Danio rerio: one gene and its partners. The protein of the gene in region 2 purifies or fractionates together with the protein of the main gene of each other region. This does not show direct contact. Links are inferred from orthologs where the notes say so. Each region holds a gene or a part of one and is shown on either strand. Other genes may lie near its edges. The genes, in order: bcl7a, smarcc1a and ss18.

The links.
Region 1: the proteins of smarcc1a (region 2) and bcl7a purify together in Homo sapiens (affinity purification with mass spectrometry; 4 studies listed by BioGRID and IntAct, counting the BioPlex papers as one, with this or other methods). This does not show direct contact. The link is inferred for Danio rerio from reciprocal best matches to the Homo sapiens genes SMARCC1 and BCL7A.
Region 3: the proteins of smarcc1a (region 2) and ss18 purify together in Homo sapiens (affinity purification with mass spectrometry; 4 studies listed by BioGRID and IntAct, counting the BioPlex papers as one, with this or other methods). This does not show direct contact. The link is inferred for Danio rerio from reciprocal best matches to the Homo sapiens genes SMARCC1 and SS18.

Annotation. Positions count from the first base shown.
Region 1 is NC_133180.1:42,613,789-42,617,947, forward strand, and holds the start of bcl7a (B-cell CLL/lymphoma 7 protein family member A), read left to right. Parts: upstream 1-1,295; 5' UTR 1,296-1,360; coding exon 1,361-1,452; exon of another isoform or gene 1,453-2,291; coding exon of another isoform or gene 2,292-2,293; intron 2,294-2,372; coding exon 2,373-2,454; intron 2,455-2,850; coding exon 2,851-2,947; intron 2,948-3,332; coding exon 3,333-3,488; coding exon of another isoform or gene 3,489-3,506; intron 3,507-3,596; coding exon 3,597-3,694; intron 3,695-4,159. Other genes in the region: cfap251 (cilia- and flagella-associated protein 251), read left to right, coding at 777-898.
Region 2 is NC_133191.1:46,885,119-46,889,526, reverse strand, and holds the start of smarcc1a (SWI/SNF complex subunit SMARCC1), read left to right. Parts: upstream 1-1,563; 5' UTR 1,564-1,581; coding exon 1,582-1,767; intron 1,768-3,375; coding exon 3,376-3,495; intron 3,496-4,408. UniProt on the Homo sapiens protein: Involved in transcriptional activation and repression of select genes by chromatin remodeling (alteration of DNA-nucleosome topology).
Region 3 is NC_133177.1:1,537,883-1,542,036, reverse strand, and holds the start of ss18 (protein SSXT), read left to right. Parts: upstream 1-1,267; 5' UTR 1,268-1,393; coding exon 1,394-1,462; intron 1,463-4,154. UniProt on the Homo sapiens protein: Appears to function synergistically with RBM14 as a transcriptional coactivator. Isoform 1 and isoform 2 function in nuclear receptor coactivation. Isoform 1 and isoform 2 function in general transcriptional coactivation.

The DNA of each region.
Region 1 (4,159 bases), on a different chromosome or scaffold from region 2:
AAAACATGTTAAACATCTTTGGTGTTTCCCACTACATGTTTTCTATAAAACCAAACCAAGGGTGGTCAAGGGTATTTGACATAATTAGCATGGGAACACAGGACATGGTCCTTGTCACTAAAACTGCTTATTTCTTTGGACTTAAACATTTTTGAAAGCATTACCAGAAAATAATAAAAAATATATAACACTATGAAAAGGCGACACGGTGGCTCAGTGGTTAGCACTTTCACCTCACAGCAAGAAGGTCACTGGTTTGAGTGCCAACTGGGTCAGTCGGCATTTCTGTCTGAAGTTTGCATGGTCTCCCCGTGTGGGCGTGGGTTTCCCCCACAGTCCAAAGACATGCGCTATAGGTGAATTGGGTAAGCTTAATTGTCTTTTGTGTGAGTGTTTCTGAGTTTGTATGGGTGTTTCCCAGTACTGGGTTGCAGCTAGAAGGGATCCGCTGTGTTAAAAATATGCTGGATAAGTTGATGGTTCATTCCGCTGTGGCGACCTCAGATTAATAAAGTGACAAAGCTGAAGAAAATTGAATAAATTAATAAATGAACATGTTCATTTACACGTTCATCTTACATGTTTTGCCTTTACATTGTTGGTTATGTTTTGGGTTAAATCATAGGCAAGTGAATGTGCAAATTAGCGTCTTTGCTAATAATGCACTCACATATATAACCTCTGCAATGTTAAAGACTATTTGGCTAAAATACATTATGATTTTCAAAATGTAGCAATCTTTTGATCTCAACAAACGTTACTCTTTCTCCTTTCAGGGTCTCTGTTGGAAAGTGTGCTTCCAGCTGAAATCACCATGGACGCATTTGCCTCAGATATATTGGGCTTTTCTGTCGCCACCCAGGAGCTCCATCAAGAACACCACGGACAGGAGTCATAATATATTTACATTTCCCTGCTTATGTTCATGCGTTGTCAATAAGTAATGTATTTTAAAACAGATGGACTGTTATTGTGTGGTTAGCGAGCTGTTGTGTTATATGTTTGCGTTCAATTCTTTCGCATAGAGATAAAATCATACGAAAATAAAACATGTCGTTTGTCAACATGCTGTCGATTGAAGTCTCCATTTTTTCCAGATACATTTATAAAACGTGTGTTGATGTCGTGGTGCTGGTTTCGATTCGCTCGTCTAGCTCAGCAATCTGATAAAATATCGTTTTCTTTGCTCTGTTCGCCAACAAAGGAGCGAAACGCGTACCCGCATTGACCGTGTCTCTCATGCTTCGAGGGCATTTGGCTTCAGCGCAGGCGCACAAACCCCGCCTCTCTCCTGTGCTGTGTGCATTCGCATTGTGTCTAAACAGGCAGCGAGCAAAAAGATATTTTACCAACAGCAGTAATGTCGGGCAGGTCGGTTCGAGCGGAGACGCGGAGCAGGGCGAAAGATGACATCAAGCGGGTTATGGCTGCAATTGAAAAAGTGCGGAAATGGTAAGAGAGAGCGTCTATCCGTTAACGAACAGCACAGACAGCCTGTGGGGGAGGAGAGACACCGAGAAACAATGAAATGAAAGCGAAGAGAGCGTTTATTCCACTCCAATTTCACTCAGATGTACTGTTTCTGCGATTCTGCGCGCGGCTGCTCCTTTGTCGGCTGTGTGAAAACATAGTTTGGGAAAATGTAGATCGCGTTTTTTCTTCCATTAAATTTTTATGTGGGTTGAACCTAGAAGCCATTTCGTTGCAGTCACATGAAGGCTTTGCTGTTAGAGCCTGTAATGCCGGCTGAATAGTAACCGAACGGGCTGACATGAGGAAACTAGAGTGAACCGTCCGTACCGAACAGAAAGTGCCGGTGAACGGGCGTTTGACTCGTTCATCTCGTGTTGAAAGTGAGAGAGTCGCGCTTTGAGCGGCGGCGCGTGAGGAGAGTTTGATCCACGCGCGGGGTTTTAAACTCAGCCCTGAGCCGCAGTTTCACATACACTTTTTTACACTTCAAGCAACTGCTGGGGATTTCGTTTAAACTTAAGTTTAAGTTGAATTAAGGGTTTTCAAACCATGACAAATTATTTGTTGGACTAACAATAATTACCAAAACAATATTTATTCTATAAAAGTATACATGTTAAATGAGAAACAATCGTGTTTTTGTGGCAACGTGCGATTAAAATTGTACACATCTGTGAGCTAGTGAACTGCATTATTATTAGTATTTATTTTTATGATAATAATTATTTACTATTGATATCGATAATTTGTTCAGTTGCATATTCTGCAAATGCATCTTGCCTAAATAATGGCTCATCTGAGATTTCTTATGCCTCTAAATGTAAGTGATTTAGTGGTTTGTCCTCATTTGTCTGGCGTTTCCTTTGTCTTTGATATCTAACAATAACATGCATCTCCAGGGAGAAGAAATGGGTGACTGTTGGTGACACGTCACTGCGAATCTACAAGTGGGTACCAGTGACGGAGCCCAAGTCAGATGATGTAAGTGACATTTATTTACAATAACGCACAGCTGTTGCAGTTTTGATAACCTAATAATTATTGTAACATTATGGACCACAACCAACAAATTCATTTGAAAGTTGGAACAAAATAGTCAAGGTAAAATATGACGCAAATGACTTTTTAATGAGTAATTCTATAGTTATTATTTTTTTAATTTAGTAAAGGTAAATTAGTAGTGGTATTCGTTGAGGGGGAAACATATTTCAGTTGTAGCATAACACAGACCAGTATTATTGTTTTTAACAGAGATTAAATTCATATTTATTTTAAATAAAATAAGTTAACTAAAATGAGTCGTATTTAAAACAGACACAACATATTTTACTATCTTCTTCATATGCCTTGATTGCAATATGTATTTATGTCACACAGAAGAACAAAAATAAGAAGAAAGGCAAAGATGACAAGTATGGCTCTGAGGTCACGACCCCTGAGAACAGCTCCTCTCCTGGAATGATGGATATGCATGGTAAAACTGTACACCTAAACACATCTCAATGTTTTACCTTTTTCAAATTAGTATTACATGCAGTAGTCTTTAAACCAATTTATGTGAGAATTTCAAATTGTGTTCTTTGTGATCCTCAAACAGTTGGTCTAATATGCATGACTAAGATTTTGAAGTGTTACCTGCTTTTTATTAGAAAAAAATCATTATTATAATTATTAATGATGGCAGCTTTGAATGTGCATTTTTTCCTCTTAACCAATAGAGGGAGTTGATGAAACAGTTTTACTCTGTGAACTGGTTATTTGCTATGCTATTCCGACCTGTAACCACCTATTAACAGTTACAAATGCATGGACATTTTCAGATATTAAAACTTTTTTTGTTTCTATTTTTTTACCCACAGATGACAACAGTAACCAGAGCTCGATTGCGGACTCTTCCCCATTGAAGCAGGAAACCAGCAACAACACTAGTCCAGCACCTGAGCCCATGGCCGCTTCTCAGAATGACAGCAGTGACTTGAAAAACGACCAGTATCCTTCCAAACAGCCTTCATCTGGTCAGGATCATAAGAGTGGTTTGTGCATTGAATCCTCTAGAGGCTTACTATCCACTTGTCTGTGTTTTTGGTTTGTTTGTTTTAATGAAACCTTGTCATTATTTTCAGAACAAAACCACTGCTCATCGGAGTCTATGACAAGCAAAAGGGACAGCAAGTCACAGGGGGATTCAGAAAGCTTTTTAGACTCTTCCAAATCGGCCCAGGTACATACATACAGCATCACTTGCATATTTATTCATAAATCAACAGTTTTAAAATAAGATTTAAAATAGTTTTTAAAATACATCCATATTGCTCAATGAGGTGTTTAATCCTAAATACAGCAAAACAGCTATATTGTGGATTAATGTTACATTTCATGATTCATATTTTATTTCATAGAACAAAGTAAAGTTGTTCCTAAACCTTTTATCCTAAAGCTAGAGATGTGCTGTTGTGAACCGAGGCTTCGAAGCATGTATCAAAAAATAATACATCTCGCAGTAAAGCAGTGTACCGGAGTTAAATTTGTTTTGCCATAATCACATGATCAGTGACGTACGAAGCTTTATTTTTACCCATACCCACATGACTGCTTTAAATTTTGATTTAAAGGTTTAAACATCCTTGCAGGTTAGGAAAGTGTATAGCGAGAGATGAGGTGTCGATTACTTTAATTTCTACTGCTT
Region 2 (4,408 bases):
ATATTCTGCCATGAATGTTTCTGAATGTTTCTCTTTTCCCCAACTATCCCAATAATCAATGTTAGTACGAATTAATGGGGACAGAGGTGAAAAAAAAAACAACACTTAAAGCAAAATTTCTTTGGCCCAGCTTTGGCCCACACAATCAGCTTTTGCTTGGCCCACATGCTGCAGTAAATTACGGTGACTGGACCAAGTCTGGCTTCCAGACAAAGACCAAACACGGACCATATCTGGGCCAAATCTCAGCCAAGTCAATAGCCCATAACTGAGCTTGAACTAAGCCAGATGTGTTTTTGTGTCATGACTGCAATGAAATGGATAAATCAATGAATCGTTGCGTTTTAGGTGTGCTAAAGGCGTGCTTTTTCTCAAAGCAACCTGAATGGTAGAATTGTTTTCCTTATTTGAAATGAATAAAAATGTATTTTAAATGTGGGTCAAGATGTAGGCCAACTTTGCTGTATGCTGTGTGCCTTGCAGATTTCAACTGCAGAGTCTGCATCCAGACCATAGACCTGATCCAGACTCTCAAAGTGTAAAACCCTGTTTAAGCACTAGATGGCACAATTTTTTCTTTCTGTAAAAATATATGTTATTTTTAACTCGAAAGAATGAAAGTAAAGTAAAGTAAAGTAAAGTAAAAAAAGTAAAAAAAAAAAAAAAAAAAACTATTTAAAAAGTAATAAAAAAGTAATAAATGCGAAAATAAGAAAGAAAAAGGGAAAATAAATAAATATAGCAGTAGACCTACATAAAAGTCTTTCCCAAGGACAAATTCATTGTCTACAGCGACTTATGATGTTCAGCGGTGGAATTACACATGAAAACTTTCTCATGGCTACAAAATATGCTACATTTTGCCTTTTTTATTTGCATGATGTACAAAAATATTATATTATTATATTATACTATATATATATATATATATATATATATATATATATATATATATATATATATATATATATATATATATATATATATATATATATATATATATATATAATTTTTTTTAATTCCATAGCTTCCGAGAATTGTGTTAAATCATTTATTTAAATCATAAAAATGGATTAGTTATATGCATAAATATAATACTATATAAAATAATGTAATATAAAAATAACTCAATCAATTTTCGTTAATATCTAAAACATCTGAAATTCTTAAAAAATTCTTTAAAATAATATAAATATCTAAGTATCTCATGTATTTGTAAGATTTTGGTAAATTCGATTCCTAAGCGTACTTACAATTGCATACTGCATTAGAGTGTAAACCAGCTCTAAACTAGTAATCATCATATTATTTAAATATTTTATTATTTTGATTCTTTAGTTGGATATTTATTTTATTTTATTTTATTTTATTTTATTTTATTTTATTTTATTTTATTTTATTTTATTTTATTTTATTTTATTTTTATTTTATTTTTATTTACGTCTCGACTGGTCTCTAACGCGCAATGATGAGCTCTCGCGAGATCTCCTTCGAGCAACGACTCCTGTGTCGGCGTTGCGCAGACGCAGTGCTGTTTTAAACATTTTCCACGGACTAGCCTCTATCGCTAATAAAGAAACAATGGCGACAGCGGCGACTGCAGCGGGCGGAACGGGCTCCGGAGGACCATCTGCCGGCCAAACGGGCGCCGGTTCCTCGATCGGACGTAAAAAAGACGGAGGGCCATCTTCCAAGTATTGGGAGAGCTCGGAAACGGTGTCCCAGTTGGAGACAGTTCGCTTGTGGATCGGGAAACATTATAAGAAGGTCTGCTGCTCATGAGGCGCCCGTTGAATGGGGGCGCGCGCATCACACAATAGCTACAAGAAGCGGCACGCGCGATTTCTTGTTGTTTATTCGCAATTATTGTCGGTTGTTTGACAGGGTCGAACCAGAGCAGTCGTGCAGATTGTGTTCAGCATCCGTACTGGCGTTTTAGTCGGCAAGTTTAGCTGTTGTGTTGTTTTAAGCGGCAGTGTTGTGGGTTGTTGAGTTAGCTCGCGCGCTAACGTTGCTGACTGAGATCTGCCATGATGAGGATATGTCTTAAAATCTGCTTAACTGCCGTGTTTATGTTCGTCTTATTTGTACTTGCTTTATTAAAACTGTGTCTTCCATTCGTTCTTAATGTATTTAGCACCACAATGTATCAGTTGTTTATGCAGAAGTTTGTTTACTGAACCTTTAAAGGGATAGTTCACCCAATAATGAAAATTCTGACATCCTTTACTCACCACTTGTTTCAAACCTTTATGATTTTCTCTCTTCAGTAAACCACGTAAGAAGATATTTCGAAGAATTCTAAAAACCTGTGACAATTGACTTCCATGGTATTTGTTTTTACTACTATGAAAGTGAATGCTTACAGGTTCTTAAAAGTAATTATCATCTTTGGTGTTCAGCAGAAGAAACTTACAAAGGTTTGGAACCAATTGAGCGTGAGTGAATATAAATTTTGGGCGAACTATCTAATATTGTTTTAACAGAAGTGCCATGGAACAGTGATTATGTAAATCTCATAAATATATAGCTGTGTATTTACCTGTGAAAGTATTTCATCTTGGTATTTACAAGGTGATTCAAGTTGTCACAAATGACACAGTGTTCACTTAGATTCAAGATTACTTGTATAGCGCTTACAATTATCTTCCCAAAGTAGCTTCACAAAAGGCATTACAGTTAAAATCAGAATAGTTAATGAGTTGTGTAAACAGTTGGCAGTGTATAAACATGGTTAACATGCAGTTATATGGTGATTTATTTTTTACAAAATAATCAATATTTACATTAATAATAAGGATGATAATAATACATGTTCGATGAAGTGTACTTGTGTCTTAAGTCTTTGTTGTCGTTGAAGATCTCTGATGGTTGGCATCATCTCTTCAAGTCCTCACAGGATTGGCATCTCTTTTCATGTCTTTGATCTGATCGAGTGGCACTCCACAATCTAGAAATAGAGAACAAAGAAAATAATTTGCATAGATGCTATTTATAATTTATTTGCTCAAGATATTACTGTAATGTGAAAGAACGCATTTGAAGAGTTCAATTTAACTGTCCTACAGTTATGTGATGCACTGTTTAAATGCTTTACTAAAAAAGATTTACAATGGCATTATGTTTAGTTGAATTATTTAGTTTTGATGTGTACCTAAAGCTAAAACATGCTTGTTTATTTAAGTCATAATTGTTCATTAGATCATTTAATTACTTCACTGTGTTATCCAAGAATTGCAGAAGCATGTATTGACTGGAGATAGTATGTTTTACATGTATTGTTACTTCCAGGTGTAATGATTTCACTGGAAAAGTCAAATGCTTTGTTTCTTAGTTGAATTGCTTGTGTTTAATAGGACTTGTTTTTTTCTGCAGCATGTCCAGACTGACTCTCCTACAAGCAAAACATTGGCTGCACTGGTGGTGCAATTGCTGCAGTTTCAAGAGGATGCATTTGGACGTAGAGTCAGCAATCCTGCCCTCACCAAACTACCTGTAAGTCTGGATTTGCAGTATTGTTTTAGCTTTCAGTAAGTGTTGTCATCTGTAGTATAATAATATTAGCTCCTTATCTTATAAAGCTTTTGCATTACAACCACTTCAAAACAAAGCAAAAGATGAACACAGACACAAATGCACAGTAATATCAATACCAGATTTCTCTTAAAGTTTAATTTTTAATTCATTCAGTAACTGTAGGTAACAAAAGATGACTAGCTGTGTTTGCCTGAAACAACAAAGAGTTAGATCACAGCACCCAAATGTTTGATGACTTGTTATTAAAGAATAACACAACTTGAAATGTCACAACTAGGACTGTACAATTAATCGCAATCACAAAAAAATCGTGATTTAAGCGCATGCAATTTTTAATCTATTAATTTATTTAGATTTTTATACAGAATACGTTCTTGTGTGCATGATTTTAATGTTAACCAATCAGCTGACATTGTGCACCACGCAAATACAGCTAAGCTGAGCTGGAGAAAGATGTTAACCAGCTCACTCCGCACACAACGAAGTTGAGCGTGAGGAAAGAACATAAAATACGGGTGCAGGTCAGAATAAAAGTTATTTGGTGCCAAAGAGAAATTCAACATCAGTTGTTTGGGAGAATTTAAGATTCAGGAGAGACAATGTGTCACAGAGCAAGGTCATTTGTAAGACTTGTGAAACGTTTTTTACGGCAAAACTGAGCAATCCTACAAATCTGTTCCAACACTTAAAACAGCGTCATAAAAAACTGTATGATCAATGCATGTCGACAAACTCTATCGTAACAAATAAATGCACACATCAAAACCAGCCCAAACAGACTGAACAAGTATTCATTGGTTAAGCATTTGCAAGCGTTGTGCCTTATGAGAAAGGATCAAAACGGCACAAAGAAATGACAGAAGCAATCACC
Region 3 (4,154 bases), on a different chromosome or scaffold from region 2:
ACATATACAGTGTACAGTTTTGAATGTTACTTCTTTTACCTTGTCAGTTATACAATAAATTTCATAAGAACGTCTGGAGATCTTACAGGTCTCATTCCACATTGAGCTTGTGATCTCCAAATACCATTGGCTGACGGAACACTAACACTATATATATAATCATTCTAATGATTATATATATATATATATATATATATATATATATATATATATATATATATATATATATATATATATATATATATTTATATATATATATATATATATATATTTATATATATATATATATATATATATATATATATATATATATATATATATATATATATATATATATATATATATATTTATATTTATATTTATACTTCCAGTTTAAGATTAAATCTAAAGTTGTGCTGCAAGCTATTATTACAAAATGTTGAGCTGCAAATTTGTTTTCCTCTTGTCAAATGCAGATTGCAGACCAAAAATGTTTACCTGCTGTGCGATACTGCCACCTGCTGATAGGTGTGACCCTGACAGTTGAGCTTTCTTGAAAATAAACGACTTTCTCTTACAATTGTAAATGCAAAAGGACCGGTCATTTAAATAACAGTACTGTGCACAATAGCAAATGGTGCACAAATAGTTTTCTTAACTGTGAATGTAAATAAAAATGCCACCTATATGTCAGGCTCTGCATCTGCAACATGCTTTTGAATTGGCTATTACATTTAGTCTTACAATTTAGATGCAGGTAAATACTAAAGAAGATATTAATTTAAATATTTAGGATGCTGAAGCAGCCATTTAAAGCGGATCATGTTGTAAAGCAGTGATTTTCATTCCGCTCGTCATAATATATTGCATAATTTATTGAATTTAAATTAAATGCAAGTACTTGCGCATATGAAAATGGCGTTTTGGTATTTCCTAAATTTGCTTCAATTTTTTGCGCATATGAATATAGCAAGTCAATTAAAGTATAACATATGTGCACACTCCACACACGACGGCGTTTTGCGCATTGCATGTGCAACGGAAACGCGCACGTACTCAGTGCACAAAATGCTGCTGTTTGGAATTCCCCCTTCTCTGACCCTTAGGGGCAAACCATTTTTAAGAAAAAGAGGTGTGCTTTGGATTTGTAGCTCTTATAAATTATATTAATCTGGACACTGCGCCCATTCACACTGTGTAATGATTAATAACAGAGTTTAAATATGTAAACAGACATTTTGCTACCAGCAGGTCTTCTTTATTTCTTGTCTTGAGTGTGATTTGGTGTATGCGAGGCTCCCCTGTGTGCTCCGTGCGCGTTGGTTGATTCTGATTTCGCAGCTCAGCGCGTTTGTTCTCGGTCAGTGTGTTTGTGTCCACCGTAGCGGTAATCTGAATTAACCAGAAACAAGCAATGTCTGTGGCTTTTGCACCGCACCGGCAGCGTGCCAAGGGCGATATAACGCCTGCCGGGATACAGAAGGTAACCTCATTTATTAGTTCGTCAAGCCGAGCGAAAACTGGAAACGGAAAATTTGCGTTAGGCTAGTTAGCTGCAACATCTCTCCCGCCAACACTAGCATAACATCACCAACAAGACGCTTATAAGGTGACATTTGTCGTCGTATTTAACAGCTCCTACATAACCGAATACCAGCGTAAAATGGGCTGATTTTGTGTTTTTTGGTCCGGGGTTTTTAAAGCTGTTGAAATCTGCTCGGTTCTGCTGTGTCTTTGTTAGCCGCTAACGTTACTACTCGGCTGTCTGATGAATCACAATGGAGGATTGTGTACAAGCATCACAACGTACATGTTCACTTGACAATAACACTGTCGTCGATTTATTTTTAAAGATATCGTCGATTTATATTTGATTTTGTGATGAAATTCATTTCGTTACGAACTAGCGTGTAACGTTATGCTAATATCTGATTTATTGATGAACAATGTCTGATTTGGTCATTTTCAGTCATGTCTTATTCGACAAGCCAAACGTTATTTTTGACACGTTAGATGTGTAAGTTAGCAGATTTTTCATTCCTGATGTCTTATAAAATTATTCAAGGTTAATGCATAAGTTTTAATTAGATTTGTTGATTTGTTTAGTGATTTCTGTTACTCAGGTCTGATGGAGATATACAGTAGAAGTCAGAATTATTAGCCCCCATTTTAATGTTTTTCTTCTTTAAATATTTCCTAAATGAAGTTCAACAGAGCAAGGAAATTTTTTACAGTTTGTCTGAAAATGTTTTTTCTTCTGGAAAAAGTCTTATTTGTTTTATTTCGGCTAGAATAAAAGCCATTTTTTAAACACCATATTAGGGGTAAAATTATTAACGTTAACCCCATTAAGCTATATTTTCTTTCGAAAGTCTAAAGAACAAACCATCATTATACAATAACTTATTACCCTAACCTGCCTAGTTACACTAATTAACCTCGTTAAGCCTTTAAATGTCACTTTAAGCTTTATAGAAGTGTCTTGAAAAATATCTAGTAAAATATTATTTACTGTCATCATGGCAAAGATAAAATAAATCTATTATTAGAAATAAGTTATTAAAACTAATATGTTTAAAAATGTGCTGAAAAAATCTCCGTTAAACAGAAATTGGGGAAAAAACAAACAAGCGGTCTAACAATTCAGGGGGGTTAATAATTCTGACTTCAACTATAGATATTTCGATATTGTCCTTATCCAAAGAAAGAAAAAAACATATATCGCCATGGCATACAATAATAAGTAGTATTAAACAGTTTATTAACCAGATTTTTGTTATGGCAAAGATATAACGATTATTCATGATTTTATTATAATAAAAGTGTTGTCATTAATGATTTTTTTTAAACAACTGTTTCGTAGCTTCTGTGGAAATTATTTATTTTGAATATTTAGCTATTTATAATATTCTCTGCTGCAGTTGTTTTGGTGTTTTTCTTTTGGTGAATTTGTTTCTTTAAATTAGCTTTCAATCAGGTCCTGGAGATTAACATCACTATACAATCACTCTGAAATATATTCAGTTTTTATAATAATATAAGACATGCTATAGAGGTAAAGTTGGTTTTATATTCGCACATTCGTTCATTTAGAAGTCTATATTGTTTACCATGTTACATTAAATATTCGATCGGAATTGGCACGCATGTATGACTTCTAAACAACATTAACACTATGTAATTCACTGTGAACAATGTTGTTCTTTGATAGTCATTTGCTGCTAATCTGATTTCCCTTTTTACAATTTTCAGAGAATACTTTTCTGAAATTATATAATCAGATCAAGGAGAATGTCTGAATATCCGAATATAAAACCAACTTTACCTCCATAGACATTCTTAGTCATTAATTCAAGTCAATATTTAACTAATTCCCTCTTTTATGATTATAATTCATTTGTATATGCATTTGTATAACGGCCCTGAGGAAAATAAGTCATATTGGATATAAATAAATGATTTAGAAAAATAAATACAATTATCATCCTTCAGTCTGCAATAGTATAAAGCATTGGTACCAAAAATAAATTGGCTAAAACTGACAAACAAGTCACACGAAAGCTTTGCATGGAAAAACATTTTGGTTTAAACCAATAAATGACCAAAAACATGTGTCTTATATTTAAATATATATATATATATTTTAAATAAATAAATTTATTGGTGAACAATATATCGTTTGAGCATCAATATCGCAATGTGTGCATCCCCAATAGTCACATTGCAGGATTCGATTATTTATTAAAGATGAAGATGAAAAGACAAAGATGTTGTTATTTTACCTTTGATAACTGTTCAATTTCTGTGCTTGACTCCACAGAAAGCCATAAAGCACTGTTTGTTAATTTATTTAATTAATTATATATGCTTGTAATTTATTATATTTATGCAGATGTACTTGATAATCCCAGTTGATCTAAATTAAGAAATGGGTTATTCAAATCATGTGGTAAAATTATATTTCTTATGGCAATGTATATCACAGCAAAACAAAATATCGCATTATCTGACTTTTCTAATATCGTGCAGCCCTTGCAAACTGAAATATATAGTGTACCTATATATCAATAACATTAGAGAGTCACTGTGTATGTTGCAGTTGCGTTGAATGAGCGTTTATGATTGGGCAGTCATGTTTATGCCCAGGATCATGTTTGATTCTAATGAAAGGCAGA